Drosophila melanogaster: one gene and its partners. The protein of the gene in region 1 interacts with the protein of each later gene in a pairwise test. Each region holds a gene or a part of one and is shown in the gene's direction. Other genes may lie near its edges. The genes, in order: Invadolysin, Sr-CIV, CG8089 and ERp44.

Region 1 (5,094 bases):
AAATTGTGGAGCTGCTTGACCCTCGGTCTCAAGCTGTGGCACGACATACTACCCTTGCTGTCGCGGCTATGCTTGTCCAGGTGCTTCAGCGGCATATGGCGCTTCAAGGACTTGCGTGCACGCATTGACCATTGCAGGTGGAGACTCTGCTCCCCTTCGGACTCTGAAGCTCCTCCGTGCGAGCGGTAGCCGGAGGCGTCTAGATTGCGCTGCAAAAGGAATGGGATCAAGGTGTTACAGTCGCATCTGAGTAAACATCACTAATGAATAGGCTAACTATGTCATTTATATAGCTTGTGGAGCTATAAAAGACGAACGTGTTCAAGTCAGCAGCAATTTGGTAAAGTGTGTCGTTGCAAATATGTCCATGCGTCTGGTTCTAATTGGCGTGGCCATCCTGGCATTGGCCTACGGACAACCTGTTCCCGGAGCTCCAGAAGTCACTGAAAGTAATTAGATAAACTAATCCTAACGCTTATTGTTCATCCAACATATTCGCCACAGATTCTAATCCAGTACAGGAGATAAATACAGCAAAACCCATGTATAATGACTACCAACGGACCCTTTTCCTGCTGCTGCCCCTGCTGTTTCCTAACCAATTCTATATACCGACTACCAGCGGCTAATAAACTACCTTAGTTCTGTTCCACAATCTGAACTTGGCGCGCTCGTCATTTGGGTCACCCGTTAGAGTGCTCTTCTTGCCCTTTATACCGACTACCAGCGGCTAATAAACTACCTTAGTTCTGTTCCACAATCTGAACTTGGCGCGCTCGTCATTTGGGTCACCCGTTAGAGTGCTCTTCTTGCCCTTTTTGCCTTTCTTGAATGTCTTATGGTTGTAGATGATGCGGGCATCTCTGAAAGAATTCGGAATTTAAAAATAAGAAATTTTAGGAGAATGCAAGAACCCACATGGGCAGCGCCCGCACATTCAGTTTAGGCAGTCCCGTCTTGTTGCTCTTGCTGAAGGCCACCTCCATGCTGTCCAAGTAAGCCGCCCACACTTGCAGGGTCATCAGTTTGAGCTCCGGCTTGGCGCCCATGTTGAGCAGCTCCTGGAGGAAGCCGCGCAGCACGTAGTTGTAGAATTCCCACGAGGTGATATCGTCCTCATCCTCCTTCTCCGTATCCTTCTTCTGTCGGATCGTCCTGGCTGTATATCGGCCTGCTGCCGTGTCATCAAAGTTATCCTCGGCGGTAATGTCCACTGCACGAATCTGATCCTTCTGTGTGCCACACTCTACGCAGTAGTAGAATCCCTCGCGCTCCTGGAAGGTGGTACCCTCGCACACATCGCAGTGCATGTTCTCCAGCTGCATCGTCTCGAGAACTTCCTCCATTTTTGGGACTTTCTCTTGACGGTATCAGATTTAAATTATATTATTAATCAAACTCGCGGTTGTACACAAATCGTGCATGTGATAGTGGTGGGGAATGATCTATGTTTACAACGATATCATCCGTTCTTCGATTGATTCGATATATCGTCCGTTTCTTCTATGAAAACGTACATCACTAGATTAAGGCGGCAAATAAAAGTTGGTTCAAAGTAACATATTTTTAGTCATGGTATTTTAATAAAATTTTATTTTTATATAAAATTTAGAGAGCGGTTTTTTTTTGAAAGTATATATTAAAATCTAATAAGCGTAAAGGGTATTTTTTATTGTTTTTTATGCCAACCTGTTAGATGCACTTGTACGTTAGCCATCACTGAACTCTAATCTCTCGTAACATTTCTGTTATCTTTTTGGTGTGACCATAAGCAGTAAGAATTGAATTATCCATGTCTTGACGCTTGATTTTTAAAAAAGTCGATTCGAAATATCGATAGGCAACGTAATTTTTTAGCGCTAATAAGAGGTGTTACCAGATTCGGAAAAGCATAAGAACGCGTTTTTCGTTTTCGTTGAATGGCCACTCTGTCCTTGTGTCCATGTACTTATGCATATGTATAGAGACTCGATTCAAAACAAAATCGGCTGGCGAACGTTAACGTCGTTGTCGGACGATTCGACTCGCGTCTCTCTAAGTTTGTTGTTCGTGCCAACCACCCCCGCCGGTACCCAAACGCCCCCTTTTCGCGCGAGTGTTTTTATGGTTTTGCTGAATGAAAAGGCTCGACGAATGCGCTTATTGAGTGCCCACTGTGTCGGGTATGGCAGTGAGTCCTACAGAATGCTCTCGCTGCACGGACAGTTCATGAGAATTTGACATTTAAGTGCGAGTTTGTTCCTCCTTTTGCGGCTAACTGCAGTTTGTAGTTTGCTGTAGTTTTATGCACATTTTTTTGGCGTGGGCTGAGATTGGGACACACCCACCCGAAAACAAAAACAAAAAGTAGTCCAAAGGCCCCAATAATTGAGTGTCTCTGTGTGTGCGTATGTACGTGTGTGTGCGAGTTGTTTATGTGTGCGAGTGAGAGGAAAGGGATTCGAATCGAGCCGGTTTTCGCGAGTTAATTGACAAAGCAAACGGCGGAAAAGCAGCAAACATAAGCAAACCAAAGAGGAAAATAAACAAAGAATTTTAAGTGCAGATATGGGTGTTCGAAGTCAAGTGATAATTAAACAAAAATCACACTAATCCTGACAATGAAAAGGATCACCGCTACAATGCTGAGTACTCTATAATATCCACGGCGATATTCCACCCCGAAGTAAAACACCATGGCCAAAACGCCCCCGCTCCGCCCCCACGGTAACATGGCCAAATTCCTGGCAGCCCTCGGCATCTGCTCTTGGCTCCTCGTTTCGGCCACCGCTCACAACTGCCAACACCAGCATCCAAAGGCCCACGAGGTGAGTTGCGTTCGTTTGGCTCCAAAAATGAAGGGATTGGATTGAATTGGATTGGACTCTATGGTATTGGGTTGAATTGGCCTTCTTCTCTTACTCCGCCCTTTCTTGCAAATAAAACAAATAATATCCGGGAAAGGGCTATTTTGGGAACACGGAATCTTTAAGTGCTCACCCGCACACGTGTGCCAAATATTTACAATCCCAACTACATTAATATTAGTCTTTTTTTTTTTAGTCTTGCAACTAGCTAAGATTTTTCATGCTAGATAGCTAGATTACAAGATAGTATAAGGTATGAAGATGGTTTGGTAATTTCAAAAGAAAGAGTCCTTAAAGTTTAAATCAGCTGGAAAATCGCAACTTCGGAAATTTCAATGCTCGAGTTTCTTGTTTGTTTCTGCTTCGGCCATTTGGGCAGATTGTCCTTCGTGCTCATTAGAGAAATTTCATAATTGGTGCAAACTGTGCTCGTCGAAAATTTATAATTGATTGGGCTTTGGCATGAAAAAGGCAGGCCTAATTAGTGCCGATTTAAGAGGAGCCCTGAAATTGCCATTCTCATAATTCTGCCATAGAAACAGCGGCAAAAAACTGAAACAATAAACATCTAGCGATGGTTGGTGGCAACCACAGCTTATTGACTAATTCCGCTGGCTAATAATATGCGCATTCGAGATTCAGTCAGTCAGTCAATGCAATGTGGTTTAGTTTGTCAGTCAGGTGGTGGGGCTGCATATTAACAGGTAGCTCATAACGTGTAACCCACCATCGTGGTTACCAAACCGCCTCCATCTGCACCACATCGACATCCACATCCAGTGATCTAGTTAGGGTTTAATGTCAGACGCTGCCCGCCAACTTGTTGCTCGGGATCTGCATTCCGTCGGGCTTTTGTTTTTGTGTCTTTGGAAGTTTTTCGCCTGCACTTTACTGCTTTCCAATCAACGGCGATTTAATTGGCGCGTCGCCATAAATAAAGGTCGCCTTCAATTGCGCAAAAAGGGGAAATTTACATGATTACTGTATCGAGGCGGGTACAGTCTGTCCTCCGTGGTTGCAACTGCAGTATAATCGAACATAAAATGTTCTCGGAAATATGCATTTCCCAGGTGTTTTATAACTTTTCAAATATATGCACTTGTGGAGAACGAAATTAATACACAGCTGTATATGGTGTGGCAGCTAAAAGCAACTATAGTGTAGTTTGCACAAAAGATACATAAGCTTTTTGCAAACATTGGCAGGATGCATCCTATTTTCAAACTCACCAGGGGACACAGAACTTTTTCATTCGTTAACAATATAAAACACAATATATGTATGAAAAATCTGTGCAAACGCTAAAGTTTTAATTAGCGAGTAACTACTTTGTTTTCAAGCCAGTAAAAGTGAATTGGAATGGCAGGGAAATGAATTAATTCAGCGACTGTCTGTTGATGGCTAACGATGCTGTCGAGGTCGCCCAGCGTGTAATTAATTGAATTATCTGTAACTTAAACTGTTGTAAATGCAAAAAACCGTCGTCCAGATTATGTGTCTCTCTGCGCACGGAATGTCCTGCTGTCTGGCCACTGAAAATCATCCTGACAGGAGCAGTGTTTGTAGAGGAGGATAAAGACATAAATATATGTATGGCGAACGAACCAATGGTACATACATATATGTTCACATCCGTATGGAACATCCATTCAATTAAATAGCGGTCCAGCTGAAACCGAAGTACTCGATTCTAATTAGTGTTATATAAATTGAAGAACGCGGCTGTCAGCAATTGCGAGAACAACTGCAGCAATGTGTAAAATTCGCCAAATTAAACCATTTGTCACGTTGCCAGCGTGCGTGCGCGCCTGTCAGCGATGTCGCGGACTGTATTGACCTTCTAATACGATAAACGCACACTTAACTTCAGAAAAACTGCCATTAAATTAAATTATCTTTTGGCTTAGCAAACTGAGCTGCAGGGAATCTCCATTCAGGATGAAAAGCTTTTTGATTCACGAGCTAAACTGAAAAGAACTTAATCAAAGCGTGATGCTAACATTTTCCAGTACAATCAAAACAGGTGCTGATTTGATATGACGAAGTTACACATGTTTCTATATTAATGAAACTCCCTAGGTAACTATAAACACGAATGCAAATGCATTCATATCGACAATGTGTGTTGCAAGCATCTGCATGTACATATGTATTTCCATTTACATATTAAGTGGATAGCAGTATATCCATACTATACTTCTGCATTTCTGCCTCAGCCGCATCACGATTAAATATTTATCAACTTGTC
Region 2 (3,768 bases), on another chromosome or scaffold:
GTACCTCAGTGAGTTCTGTTGCAAGTGTAGTATTTTAAGATGTGGCAAGTCCTGGATAGTTTCTCCACTCAATGTACCCAGCTCGTTGTATCTGAAAGATACTGCGGTCAGGTTGGGGATCAGAGCTCCTCCACAGCTCAGTTTCAGGGTGGCATCGCCCACAAAACGTTGGATCTCGACACTTTCCAGATCCACACAATTGTCCAGGTACTCCAAGCCATAGCTCGAGATTCCCAAGGGTGGTGTCTGAAAGCCATCCAGCGAAACGTGCCTCTTTCCGGCCACTCTTTGGGCGCCCAAATCGAAGTAATTCATCCCCATGCTACTGTTCTCACTGCAATCTATTGCCAGAGGCAGCCCAAAATCGTTTTGACTCCTTTCCGACGAAGATGTCTTATAGAGCGTTGCCCGAATGACGCAAGCCGGTGGCAACGATATTGATTCGTTGGCGGAAGACATCGCATCGCCAGCTGCCCGCACGTGTGACAAAATCTGCGATACGACAACGAGGAAGACGCACTGCGTCATCGCCACCGAAAAATGCGAGCTGCCCATCGAAGCGTGTCACCGAGAGACCGCTAAACTATCAAGCTCATCCGTGTCCGACCACCTCGTGTGCGAAAATCAAACTGAGGCTAGTACAAATCGCCGAGCGACCCTCACATTGGAAAATTCATACGGAAAAGCCGAAACACCTTTGGCTTCATTTCAATATGATGCTCCCCGCTGGCCATCACCGACCATTTGCTACCCTCTGCTCCCAACTGGAGAGGTATGCTGCGTTCTTCTAGCTTTTGGCTGAGCTTGATAGGTTAGGAAAATCATATCAAAAGATGAAACGAGATGAAACTCATGTGCATCATTAAGTATTTTGAATGCACTTAGATTTCAGAGATAGATATAGTAAAAATATATCAGTGTATATATTTGAATAATTTATTAAAAATCCTATTGGAGGTACTATTTGTGCGCCAACTGGACCTGCGCAATTCAAGTTGTTTTAATATTAAAAATTATTTCTGAGAGTATCTTTGTTTATATTTAGACTGTTCTCTGTTTCTCCGCAGAAGAATGCTTCCTATTCTCTGCGCAGTGCACATTTCTTTCTTTCTCTATTTTTTTCAGCTGTCATCAGCCCCAATTTCCCGCCCCCCTTAATTCCACAGTCGCCCCAAAAAAAAAAAAAAAACACCCGATTTCAAACACTTTTCGCACAGAATCACACTCCAAAGTGGGTGAGGCAAATGTTTACATATTCATCCTTATATACAGCAAACGATCGATGGAAAAATCATAGGCAAGTGAGTTTCCAAGAACCGCATTGTTTACATTGATATTTTAATTGGCCATTGTTGGCTGCTTATTTTGGCTTGGAATGAGATCACAAAATTCCAAATTGGCCACAAATGTATTTAGTAGAAAATAAGAGAAAAAGTCACCAACGATGCAAACATTACTATTAAAGCACCATAGCCATTAAAAATCAGTCCGCTTAGAACAGAACCTTCCATATTCGTCCAAACTCGCAAAGCATATAGATTTCAATAGTTAGAACTTTTTGGCACTTACAAACGCTGTTGAGCTGCGTCGTTACTCATTATTCTAGATAAAAACAATAAATTTAAAGATTGTACAAGACCTGATAAGGCACAAATGAACTCATCTCGTATGAACACACTCAGCATGTACTTTTTATTTAATAGAAATGGAATGCAGATCCCCACTTAACTCAGTCGTTGTTTTCCGTCGAAGCCTAAGAAAGCACGGATTTGACAGAAGTATAGAGTATTACTTCTTGAAGCTATGATATTGCTCTGGGCGATCGTTCTTATATCGAGTGTGGATCGAACAAATGCTCGATGTCTAGAATCTGTGCACTTGGAACACGGTTCGACGGAAATAGTAAATGGATCCATTATTTTTCATTGCGATCAAGGATACTTTCTACAAGGATCGAAAGTGTTCACCTGCGATCGCGGTATTCCTCGAGGGAAAAAACCATTTTGCGCCAGTAGGTGTACAAAATAAGAAAACAATTTTAATTATAAATTAAAGTAAGTAAAAGCTAACATAATTTTTAACAACTTTCAGAAAGCGGTTGCCAGGAATACGAACAAATACAGAACGGATTTGTTTTAAATGCTCCTATGAAAGCTAAAATCATATGTTCGGATGGCCATGGGTTGGTTGGAAATCGCATTGCCTATTGCGATGGCGAGAAGTGGAGCACCCAGTTGGGATCCTGCGCATTAAGACGCCAGACGATCGATGTTTCCTGTGATTTCGAGAGCGAGGATATGTGCGGCTGGACGGCGGAATTGAGCTTCTTGGGAACTTGGAAACGGGTCAGTACGGTGGCCGACTTTCACTCTGAGAAAACGGGTCCCCAAAAAGATCACACGTTCCAAAACCAATCCATCGGACACTACGTGCGCATGGAGACGGAAAGCGATGCTTTTGGAACCTACCACTTCCTATCGCCACTGTATCCCAAGGAGCTCAGTTTGAGTGGCGCCTGCTTCCAGTTTCACTACTTCATGTTCGGCAGCGGAGTGGGTAGCCTGCTGGTGTCCATAAAACCCGTTTCGGTGACTATAGGAGACATATTTAAAACAAACCAGTGAGTTGCTTACTAATTATCTTATCTAGAATTAAGTTTGCCTTATACAGCAATATGATTTTTTAGTCCCTACAAGTTCGACCAATTCGTGATGACTGGATCACAAGGTGCCAGGTGGCTGGAGCACACGATCGATATCAATAAGATGGATGAGGACTTCCAAGTGATCTTTACCGCCACGGATGCGAGGTCCCAATACGGAGATATTGCCATCGACGACGTGAAGCTGATGGCAGCTAAGGAATGTGCCAGGAGGTCTACCTTCATCGAGGAACCAAAAAAACCAATAGAAGAATCGGATATCACGGATTCACTGGGCTACCAAATGACCGACTGCTCTGGTCGTTGTGGTCAGGACTTTGTTCGGGGAAGGTACATCAATGAAGGGTGTCGATGCCAAGAATCATGTCTGGTGAACGGCAATTGTTGCCTAAATTATGTCAAGGAGTGCCATAAAGATCTGGTCATAGCTCCGTATAATGAACTCAAATTCTGGAGGCTTTGGAATCTTTGGAGCGGTGATAGTAATGTGACTGTCGTACCTAAATAAGTTCCTATCCCAATACATTTAACCGAATCATTAAAAGTACTTTTAAAAATGAGTTTACATAATCATTAGAGTGAAATAATTGGTGGCTTAATAAGGGCTGATAATGTCCAGGCAACTTGATGGCATAGTCCAAGTGCTGGGAGCAGTACCTTCAAGTTGCCTGGACAGCTGATGAGCCCAATCTAGTGCCTAGGTCTAGGCAGTCCAGTCCAGATCCCCGTTTAGATCGTCGCCTTCAGAGTTCGGGGGGCTGCAAATCGACCGTTGCTGGTTCCCTGGGGCAGCTGATTGATCCTGATCAGACTGGGTCGATGGGAACCACCTGATGTCAAGTGGGCAATGCCAGCCGACCCACTGCCAACGATGCCCGTGCCACCCTGATTCGTCATGGAGTAGATGTGCCGCCGGAGAACCCTTATGTGTTTCTGCGAGACCTCGAAGTTGTGGACCAGGGTGTGGAGTTGCGTCTGGAGCTCAGCTATCAGACTATCCCGTTCCTGGATCAAACTGGACGTCGAGTTTTGGCTCCTACTCAGCTTCAGTTCGAGGTCGTAGATCTTCTTCTGCAGATCCCTGCGCTGCTTTTCGCTCTGCTCGC
Region 3 (4,468 bases), on another chromosome or scaffold:
GTTGTAAAAAGGCTCAAATGGCAAGGGAAATCTAGGCAGGAGATGAAAGTGCGGATACCCTTTAAAGATTTCAGTATAATTACTGACTAAGAATGTATACAATTTTATTATATTACACTTTCAACTTAGTATCTATCTATCTGTAAGAGCCATTGATTTCCCTTTTAATATACTCTCCCTGCATTGAAAGGTATTTTCGTGTCGAATAATTAGCAAACCAGGAACCTGCCTGTGCAGCAATTAAAATTTGCTATTCGCTATCCCACATGGTGGCCAAGCGAAACGCCCAAATTCCCCGGCTCAAAGGTGTGGAAACGTCGGTGTGTTGACCAGCGGCGGCAACTTGTGCTTAGTGAGCGTGTTTGCCTCCATTTCGGTTGCCATTTCGACTCCGTTTGCCTTTTTCCGTCGAAGTGTGTGGTCAGCTGTGGTCAATGATAAAAGCGAAACGATAATTTCCGTTCGTGGAGCTGGGTGGCAAAGTGACCGTTGACATGCAAATTTCCATTTAAGGCGAAAGCTTTCTAGGTGCCTTGGAGTTGCTTTTTGGGATGAGCACAGGTGAAGGTCACAGTACATTCGAAAGTTGCAGCAATTCTCCAAGAACTTATACATTAAAACTGATGCCTATAAAAATGAAATTATTGAATAAATCTTATAAAATCCAAAATAAGTTAAACTACTTCTCCCCTACCATCTTAAAGATACTCTACCAGAGCTAATGGTAACTTAATTTTATGTTGTCCCCTGCTGTAGTGGCTCCGAGTGGAAGCTCCAGGCCACCGCCCACCGAGTCGTGTGTCCCTGATGGAATTCAGTGGTGCTGACATTCGCCACCTGCAGCTCCTTGAGGTAATCCAGTATTCTTGGAACGTTGGCCTTGACGCCCAGCATCGTGGTGAAGATTCTGCAACGCAGAGAAAACCAACGTTAATTCAATCTCAGCAGCTAATGAAGATTGACTCACCGCACACGCTCCTTGTTCTCCAGACTCTCGTCTATAATGCGTTGCACAAACTGTACCTCGCCACCCACGCAGGTGAGTTCCTCCTGGCTTCCAGTTCTGGCATTATTGGGTGCTGGTCGTCTCTCTGGATTCCTGGTATTGCCGCCTAAGGGATTTGGTAAGTTCGAGTCGAAGAAGGGTGGATTGCACAGGCAAAATTGATACTGCAACTGTTGCTGATCCTGCTCAAAATAGCTCTTAAAGATGTTCGTGTTGTCTGGTTGAGCATAGACTTCTATAAGGCTTTCCATGTGATTTCTCTTTACATTCTCCTTGGCGTATTCTATGTTTTGCGGTTTCGATTCCAAAGCCAACATGTGCCAACCATTTTTCTTGGCCCCAAGGAGTGAATAAATGCAGGAGGAGCCGCAGCCTGTGAGGAATTCACTTAGTAAATCGTTGTGACATACTAACCATAGCTTACCTATATCTATACCACGTATGTTCTGCAAATTTAGAGGTTCCATTAGATCCTCCAACCACAAAATGTAATTCAAACGTAGTGCTAATGTGGGCACCAAACTTCCGGGTGCAAAATCCACATCTAAATCGTAATATTCCTTCAACAGCATTTTGGTCAACTCACGAAGGGTCTTTTCATTGCGAAAGTTCACAGAAACCTTGCCATTGAGCTCCTAAATTAAGCAATATTTTATTAAAATCAATGTCTAAGCAAAACAAATAGTTTTTACTTACCAACTGGCACTGCTGCCGAAAATCTTTGTATTTTATAGCCATTTTGGTATAGTCGGGCTGCGTGCGTAACACATTACGTGGATGCATGCCGACTATCTTTTGGTTTCCCTTAGTTTTTACCATATTTCGTTTTCAAAAAATCGCAATTGTTAATGAAATAAAATGCCGCCGAAATTCGAACAGCTGTTTATTGCAGCAGTCCGGCAACTCCAGCGAGCAAGAGATGACACCAGCTCCTCTAATTGGTAGTTTTATTTGGCCCTTCTGTGCTATCAGTGACTGGTCACACAGCCACTTGTTGATTCAACTTTTGTAAACAAAAAAGTAAACTTAATGTCTTGGCCTGGCAAACTGCTAGTTACCTACGAAAACTTTACAACCGATTTGCCAGTCCTTAGCATTGACAAGAAGCCATATGGATGCCCTGCTTCCTGCCACTGCAAGTGCAAGTGCTGTCGAGGATTCAGGGAGAAGTACGTGGCATTCAATGGGGAAGGGGAGACCATATTTGGAACGGATTTCTCCAGCGAGTTATGCGAAGACGTTCAGAAAATTATGCGTTTCCGAAGCTCGGATATGCTGCTATTACTGCGCACAGCACAATTACGCGATAATTTCTGGACCAATGAGTATTTTAAGGCTGATTTACAGGACGATTTTCGAGCAATATTCGATGCCTTCGAAGAGAAGAACCGCAAAGTACAATTGGAAAAGTTAGCTGCCATTCTGGATACAGTGAGCAGCGGCTACAGACGTTCAGTTAGCCAACTGGCAGGCCAGGAAGCACATGGAGCTCTGCGTCCCAAAATTGCAGCTTTATTCCTACCAGGACTGCGCTGCGATTGCTACAAATGTGAGAATCTACCGTGGAAAAAGCTGCAGGACGTGGAGGATCATCAAAAGACGCATCGCTATTCAGACAACTTTCACTGCCAGATATGCTACAGGCGATTCTATCTGCAGCACTCGTTAACCTCACACATAATCAGAAAATCCACAAGCTCGCGGGAACTTCACGAAAACAAGAGATATAAACGACTACTGGAGAATCAGAAGTCACAAGAGGAGAAGGAACTGGAGCTATCACTTAACAAGGTAGAGGATATCTTGGTGCCAGTTGCCGAGGACCTGCAATCGTACTTTAAGGATGAATCGAAACATCCAATTCAAAAACGAAAGACTTCTAGCCTCAGCAAATGTCCAAGTTGCGCTCAGAACTATGGCTTCTCCTTTAGCCACCAGCTGCATATGGTTAAGCATAGACGGGAAAGGCTATATACGAACTTCCCTTTTCACTGTTCCTTTTGCAACAGGTCGTTTCTCACCCGGAAATTCCTACGTAAGCACCAGCAGAGGGTTAGAACATTCAGTACTCTGCTATATCGCCCCTTTAAGTGTCCTCACTGCACATGGAGATTCCAACTGAAGTCTGCCCTCGATTCACATGTACTGCGAATCCATGAACGCAGAAAACCCTGCCTAATATGCAAACTACCAACCTCTCGTCTATGCTGCTCTGCTCATACCTCTAAGGAATGCAATAGAGCCATGCAAAAATATCGGGATAAAATGCGTCCGTTGAGAGAACCTCCAAAGGGAGGCTGCAGGAAGCAACCCACTCCAGTCTGCAAAATCTGCAATAGGAAGTTCACGAGAAAATTTTTCCTTGAGGAACACATGAACAAAGCTCATTTGAACAAGAGGAATTTCACCTGCGAAATCTGCGGAGCGAATTTCTACAGTCAGGGCACCATGCAAACCCACCGAAAAGCAGTGCATCTTTTAGTTCACACCGTTCAGTGTGAAGTTTGCGATCTGACCATTAAATCGAAGGGAAATTACCGCAGGCACTGCAAATCTCAAAGCCATAAGGATAACCTTGTAAAGTTCGGGAAAAATAATGACAAAACAAAAGATAGCAATCGCCGCAAAGGGGCAAGAACCACCGATGAAAAGCTTGATATTGAAGCAAGTTCGTCAACAAACACATGTATGACATCAGCAAATAAAAGTACACATAACTACAAGAAAATGGGCATAAAAACTAAGCAGACCCACTTGAAAACACCCTGCAGGTCGAAAAAACGTGTCAAAATTAAAATCTGTGAAACCTGCGGAAATTCAATTGTGGGAAGTATGCAAAGACATTACAGATCCATGAAACATAAACTGAACTTGATGGCACAAGCAAAAATGTTCAAAAAATAATATAATTTTCAATATAAGGTTTAACTTCATAAAAATAAAAAAAAAATATTTTTCTTATATTTTTTGGGATGAATAATTAGAACATCAAATCAAGATCAAATAATTTATTGTAAGCACTGATGTTAATATAAATATATATTTATTCCTGACTAGGAATACCAGTTTTTAGAAGATGGGCTAATACTCAATTTTGTTGTAAATTAATTATGAGTAATTTATAATTTTTGCTAAACTTACAAATTACAACTTTTTTGTTTGTAAGTTCAAAAGTTTTGGCGTAATTTAAGTTACCGAAATATACTAAGCCCGGAAAAAAGGTATTATTTGAGTACGGTTCATTTTATAGTTTACCCCACAACGGTCACTCTAAAACACTTTTCGGCAAAACAAAACACATTTTTACAGAAAACACGCTATAATTCGAATAATATTGATTAGAAATGTCGGAAACTAGCTCCAAGGATAATGTCAAAACGGCAATGACCTATATTTGTGGAGGTAAGTTGGCCAGAGAATATACTTCGATAGAAAAACGATTTTTTAATTACGGGCACATGG
Region 4 (6,274 bases), on another chromosome or scaffold:
TCCAAAGTTCAGCCATTCACGCTCGACAAGAACGCGGAACCCCTGCAAATACAAGCAAGTAGGTAGAGTATTAGTCCATAGAACACAAATGTTGATGTATATCAACGTACCTCAACCGTTCTGTAGTAGGGATCCAAACATAATTGCGCCGTGGCCACGATCTGTGGAGTGCGATCCCAACCGTCTGAGCAATGTACAAGGACGGGTCGTCCATTCTTCTCGATGGTGTGCACAACGGTCATGGTGGCTCCCAGCAGACCCGACAGGTGCTGCATCCACATGGTCTTTTCCAGTTGTCCGTACCAGCTGCAAGAATATGATTCCATTACATAAATATATATATATCTTTAATAATCAGCTAGTAAACTTACTTTGGATCATCGGGGGATGACGCGCATAGCTGTCGGACAGCGTGGAAACTCTTTCGAATGGCGTGGATGTTGCCCAAGTTCATAAACTCAATCTCTGCACAGGGATAGTACTCGATGCACTCACAGCCGCCACCTCTGGCACGATTTGTAACTGCGGAGGTGTAGCTGCGAGCATCCACAATGAGGATTTTCTGAAAGCAAATACAATTTAAGAGCAATGATCAAATTATTTCATTAGCACTTGGCGGTTTTGACATCATTTTACTGCTCCGTGTTAAGTAATTTATGATAATTATTCATGAATGTTTTCTTATATGGTAACTGAAACCTTCATTTCAAGAATACCCGGCTATTTTGGTAATAAACTTACCTTGATTTCATCCAGCGTGAGTTCCTCATGCGAGGAATCGTCCAGAGATGGTGAACTCTTGCCGGATAAGCCCGACTGGCCGTTGGTCTCCTTGGAGCCCTTTGTTGGTTGCGCCTTTGCATTGGCGCAGGTGGAATGCCTGGCGTGCTCGCCCCTGTCAAAGGCACAGGCATCGGCGAGTGCCTTGAGTAGCTGCTCGTCCCTTGTGTTGCGCCAGCCGAGCCAACCGACCTCCGGCTGGCTGCATCGGGCCAAGATGGCACCCGACTTTTGGTGCCGCCAGACGACAGCCGGCAGCCTTCGTGATCCCCGGAAGTTGGCCACGTTGTGGAGCATCTCATCGGTGATACAGCAGGGCACAAGCAATTTGGGTGGATACGAGGGACAGAGCTTAAAATCGGCATTGGCCGTGGAGATGCGCCACGAGCCCTTCAGATCGAATCCCAAGCGGGCAACCTCGTTCTTAAAGTCGCTTTCATAGCGCACTGATCGTTGCAGGCGATTGCTCATGGCGGCTGAGATGGTCTCGCTGGCAGGATCGGGCAGAGGATTCGACGCTGTGACGTTGGCTGTTGGCTTTGCCAAGCCATTGTGTAGCGTTAGGCAACGATCCTTGGCAATCAGGCCGTTTCCGTTGGCCTGGGCGCTAACGATACCGCTTCCATTGCCACTTCCGAGCACATCGCAGGTCCAGGAGTAGAAGGGAAAGGCGAAGAGTGTCTCCAGTGACTCGGGAACCCCGATCATCAGATGGATCCGGCGCTGCCAGTCGGAGCACTGTTCCGCCGACGGAAAGGAGCAGCGCACAGTGCTGGCATCCTTACAATTGACAATCAGCTGGAACAGATCTCGCACCTGTACGGATTCGATTAATCCCAATGGAACGTAGGTCTCGTAGCCGGTTGACTGCTTGGAAAGGAATATCCGATAATTGGACAGGGCGAGGATACCATCATCCGTGCGCCCCAGGTACTTAATCGATTCGCCGGCCACTAGTGGTATATATACTATAGATTAGCATGTGTTATCGGTTACAGCATATGGGGGAACACCTACACTCTTGAAACGGGACGAACAGCTGGGAGTCTTCCTTCTCCATTTGTGACTTTGGATACGATTCGGCGGCACGGATAAAGCAAATCGATGGAGGCGGTGATCCATCGGACATTGTGTGAATCGGCTAAAAGAATACTTAACATGTAACGTATTCGAAATTACTTATTTGCTTATATTTAGGCAAGGCGATTTGGGTGTCATTGGAAATCCGGTTATCGCTTATAAGTGCATATATCTCTTATATCCACCATCCGAATACATAATTACGCACAACAGTGTGTGTGCGATGTTATTGGGACGATTCGATACGTATAGTATAGTGGCTCCCATAAATAAATAAATAATACTATGCACATATGTGCATGTGCATTAAGCAGTGCACAAACAAAGCCAAATAAATGTCACTGGGATGATAAATTGGGCACAATCAACACTTTTAGAACAAATCGAAGTTAATATTTGAGTTTTTGAGTGTCGTGGTGGCAATATAGATAATGCACTGCATATATATGCACGTATGGATGTACAATGTACAATGAACATACATTTATGTGAGCACACACAGTTGCAGTTCCACAAGGTGCGCAATATATAGTATGCACATATTTGTGTGTCGCTGCATTACATACGCACGCACATATATACCAATAGACTAGATTATCACGATTTCATAGCCAATAGGCGAAAAATGGCCGATTATCGTACTCAACGTATTCTAATGGCCGTGTATGTTGTCATAAACAAAGTAATTAAACATTTACGCATGTGTATGTTTGCATAAACTCATATGTATATTTGTCTATGTAGGTATGTTTGTGTTTCGATATTTCGGGGAGCAACAATAACACATTACAATCGTACATATGTATGCACACACATTTGGTTTTTGGATTCCACAAACCGTTCGCTCAGCAGACTTTTCGGGGTATTTAGCTCAAAACGTATTGCCGAATTGAAAACGCGCTTGGCTTCTAGATTTTCTCGCTCTATTTACCACCATAAAATCCATAAGCGTCAGCTATTATAAACAAAGATTTGCAAATGTTGTTGCACATACATATGTATGCATATGTATTCATTTAGACACTTTTTGTTTCATTTCCATTGAAATTGCTATCGTTGTTTGCTGCTATCGCTGTTATCGCTGCTGTTAGCGATGGCCAAGTCATGTGACTAAGCTATCGTTACTCGATTGCCGATGAGATGTGCATTCGAGACTAACCAACACTGGCCAGCCGATAAAATCAACCAAAAATTTGTAAAACTTAATAATTGTGCGTACGTTTGCATTCCATTCCAGCTGATGTGTAACTGAAATCAGAAAAAAAGAGAACCGATCGCTTGGACTCTCCGCCGGTGCACGCAATTCTACGCCCACTCCTCGCCAGCCGCATTCGCCATTCGGAAGCCGAACAAGAATGTTTGGAGCCAGAATCGGAATCGGAAAGCTTGGGCCGTGTGTGGCCCTAGTTGCGGTGAGTCGACGTGTTCCGTTCTGTCTGGTCATGTTGCTGGTCACTGGAGTGGCTCACCCGCTCGATCAGCGGGCGGGGAAACAGTGGGGAGGGGCCGGCCAGACAGCCCCGGCTTTTTTTTGGCTCCCCCTAACCAAATAACTAACTAACCAGAACTGACATCCTATGGAATTTACAGATTCTACAGCTACTCCAGTACACACAGCCGGCCGATGCCGCCGGAGCCGTGCCCATGACCAGTGATAATATCGATATGACCCTAGGTGAGATATGCCCATACCATAACCATCACAGTCATCCCCATGCCATTCCCGCTGCCAGCGTGAGCGGGAATCAATTAGCCGACTTGTCCCATTGACGTGTCACTAAACAAAATCACTGGCTCGCTCAATTCGGCACTGCCAACGTGGTAAAATAAGTTTTATGCGCTTTCGTAAAGGACAAGGTGTGGAATTTGGATAAAACTTAATTAGGGCGGTTTATATTTCATGCTGCATCGGTCCGATAGTCCGCCAAAATGGGCACTAGCCATTGGTCGGCAGTTCTTTGCTCAGAATGTCCGAAGTTTGGTCTTTGCATGAATAGGTCCTTTTTATACGGTGTGTCCTGTACACAATCCTGCGGTAATACTATATTGTTTTTTTAAAGTTATTTTTTTTTATTATCCAAACGTTAACTTTTACAGTAAAGCCTGGCCTTAGGCTTGCACCCCTTAAATTTTAACTTTCGGAAGTTATGGAATAGTAGGATGCTAGAAATTTCTTGACTTTAATATGTATATTCAGCGACAAATTTAAATATATTCCATAAAAATACATATGCATTTAAATTATTAATACATAAACCCGTAATTCAATATTGATATAAATATATTACCAAATATATGTTTTTAAAAGTTATTATATTTAGTATCTGAACGGAGTTGTATTCTACGCATCAACAATTTTACACACAATTTGGTGCCTACATTAAAAACACGTTTTGTTTTCTTGCAGCGTCTAATGAATTGGTTTTCCTTAATTTTTATGCGGAGTGGTGTCGGTTTAGTAATATTTTAGCACCTATATTCGCGGAAGCTGCAGATAAGGTGAGTCAAATGGATCGCCAGTAAAAGCTTACAAACAATGCGATACATTCATATACATTTTATATCGAATAAATACGTGGCATTCAATCGAATTTCTCTTACAGATTAAAGAGGAGTTTCCAGAGGCTGGAAAAGTGGTGCTAGGCAAGGTCGATTGCGACAAGGAAACGGCCATCGCGTCCCGTTTCCACATAAACAAGTATCCAACATTGAAAATTGTACGCAATGGGCAGCTCAGCAAGCGCGAATACCGAGGACAGCGTTCAGCCGAAGCGTTCCTCGAGTTCGTCAAGAAGCAGCTGGAGGATCCCATTCAGGAGTTCAAATCCCTGAAGGATCTGGAGAACCTGGACTCGAAGAAGCGCCTCATTCTGGGCTACTTCGATCGTAGGGACCAGCCAGAGTACGACATATTCCGCAAGGTGGCGACAAATCTGAAGGAAGACTGCCAGTTCCACGTGGGCTTCGGAGATGCCGCCCAGGCCATGCATCCACCAGGTGAATTCTATCAAACGCACCAAGTCATGCCAAGCCAATACTGAATGTCAGCTTTTTTGGTCTATTACAGGTACACCTATCATAGTATTTAGACCTGATGTAGCTCTGTCTCATGAGAACGATGAGACCTACACTGGCAGCCTACAAAATTTCGATGAGCTCAAAATTTGGGTCCAAGAGAAGTGTGTACCCCTGGTGCGGGAAATAACATTTGAGAATGCAGAGGAACTTACGGAGGAGGGTCTGCCGTTCCTAATTCTCTTCCACCACCCAACCGATCATAATTCTATCAAGGATTACAAGTCGATCATTGAGCGTCAATTGCTGGATGAGAAACGTAAGATGAATCATCGTGTTGTTTACTTTGCATATAAGCATTTGGTTTGACATTGTATTTTCGAAATTTTGCAGAGAACGTCAACTTTTTGACCGCCGATGGCAAGCGATTCGCGCATCCTCTGCACCATCTGGGTAAATCCGAGGATGACTTGCCCTTGATTGCCATCGACTCGTTCAAGCACATGTATCTGTTCCCCCACTTCAGTGACATGTACTCGCCGGGTAAGCTGAAGCAGTTCCTTCAGGATCTCTACAGTGGCAAGCTGCACAGGTAATTGTTATACAGCCGCCTTTGCTAACACCATGGGGCTCAATTACTAAACGGTCTGCTGCTTTGCTTTCCAGGGAATTTCATTACGGGCCGGATCCCTCAAATGATATTGAACCTGACCCACACACTGGCAAGGGTACATCGCCACCAGAGTCCAAATTCAAGGAACTTGGCCCATCCAAGCATCGCTACACCCTGCTAGAAAAAGATGAACTGTAATATAATAATAATAATGTATATTGAAAATAAAAGAAAATAATACAAAAATGTAATAATGAGCAACCTTCTCTGAAAGCAGATCAGCAGGTGAGCGGTTATCCATGCAAATAGCGGGCGCAGCAGCCTCAATTCTCTTCAATGCAATTCTAAAAATAAAAAGTCTGGATTTAACCACCTTTGTTATTGCAAAAAGAAACAGTTGCTGAATTATCCACAAATTGCACGCGTCACTTTTCAAGTTTTCCTCGTTTTGTTGTTAAAAATTACGCTGGAGATTTCGGCGAGGCGAACTTATTGAATTCTTTGGAATCCCCTTCTTAGTCAGCTAAGCTGGAAATGAATGATGTCAACTTCCGAATTCAAAGCAGTGATTTTGATTTTCTCTATATATATATATATATACACATATATATGAGCTATATATGTATACATATATATATGTTTATTCGTATGTACCATGTTACAGTTACAGTTGTTAAATTAGATTACATAATTATATAATATAATTCAGTCAAAACGAGCGATAACCGTGTGTGTGTTGGGATAAAAATCGGTTCAAATGAAGTCGTGTGCTGGCAATTATCATTT

Evidence for each region.
Region 2: the proteins of Invadolysin (region 1) and Sr-CIV interact in a two-hybrid assay, tested with the Drosophila melanogaster proteins (one large-scale study listed by BioGRID).
Region 3: the proteins of Invadolysin (region 1) and CG8089 interact in a two-hybrid assay, tested with the Drosophila melanogaster proteins (one large-scale study listed by BioGRID).
Region 4: the proteins of Invadolysin (region 1) and ERp44 interact in a two-hybrid assay, tested with the Drosophila melanogaster proteins (one large-scale study listed by BioGRID).

Annotation. Positions count from the first base shown.
Region 1 is NT_033777.3:10,142,726-10,147,819, forward strand, and holds the start of Invadolysin (invadolysin), read left to right. Parts: upstream 1-1,942; 5' UTR 1,943-2,675; coding exon 2,676-2,807; intron 2,808-5,094. Other genes in the region: TAF1B (TATA box-binding protein-associated factor RNA polymerase I subunit B), read right to left, coding at 1-209, 743-863, 919-1,346; CG42759 (uncharacterized protein), read left to right, coding at 362-449, 505-629. UniProt on the Drosophila melanogaster protein: Essential for the coordination of mitotic progression, and also plays a role in cell migration.
Region 2 is NT_033779.5:3,521,996-3,525,763, reverse strand, and holds Sr-CIV (scavenger receptor class C, type IV), read left to right. Parts: upstream 1-1,707; 5' UTR 1,708-1,803; coding exon 1,804-2,011; intron 2,012-2,091; coding exon 2,092-2,620; intron 2,621-2,686; coding exon 2,687-3,170; 3' UTR 3,171-3,243; downstream 3,244-3,768. Other genes in the region: CG8852 (uncharacterized protein), read right to left, coding at 1-555; CG8851 (uncharacterized protein), read right to left, coding at 3,392-3,768.
Region 3 is NT_033778.4:15,145,323-15,149,790, reverse strand, and holds CG8089 (uncharacterized protein), read left to right. Parts: upstream 1-1,966; 5' UTR 1,967-2,035; coding exon 2,036-3,910; 3' UTR 3,911-3,966; downstream 3,967-4,468. Other genes in the region: CG7544 (uncharacterized protein), read right to left, coding at 736-907, 968-1,379, 1,431-1,641, 1,703-1,825; Polr2K (RNA polymerase II, I and III subunit K), read left to right, coding at 4,351-4,408.
Region 4 is NC_004354.4:16,293,308-16,299,581, reverse strand, and holds ERp44 (endoplasmic reticulum protein 44), read left to right. Parts: upstream 1-1,921; 5' UTR 1,922-1,940; intron 1,941-2,342; exon of another isoform or gene 2,343-2,499; intron 2,500-2,674; exon of another isoform or gene 2,675-2,791; coding exon of another isoform or gene 2,792-2,806; exon of another isoform or gene 2,807-2,911; intron 2,912-2,994; exon of another isoform or gene 2,995-3,097; 5' UTR 3,098-3,215; coding exon 3,216-3,272; intron 3,273-3,311; exon of another isoform or gene 3,312-3,450; coding exon 3,451-3,535; intron 3,536-4,267; coding exon 4,268-4,359; intron 4,360-4,463; coding exon 4,464-4,857; intron 4,858-4,927; coding exon 4,928-5,194; intron 5,195-5,268; coding exon 5,269-5,467; intron 5,468-5,541; coding exon 5,542-5,686; 3' UTR 5,687-5,729; downstream 5,730-6,274. Other genes in the region: CG3632 (uncharacterized protein), read right to left, coding at 1-42, 111-306, 372-562, 742-1,733, 1,798-1,921, 2,792-2,806.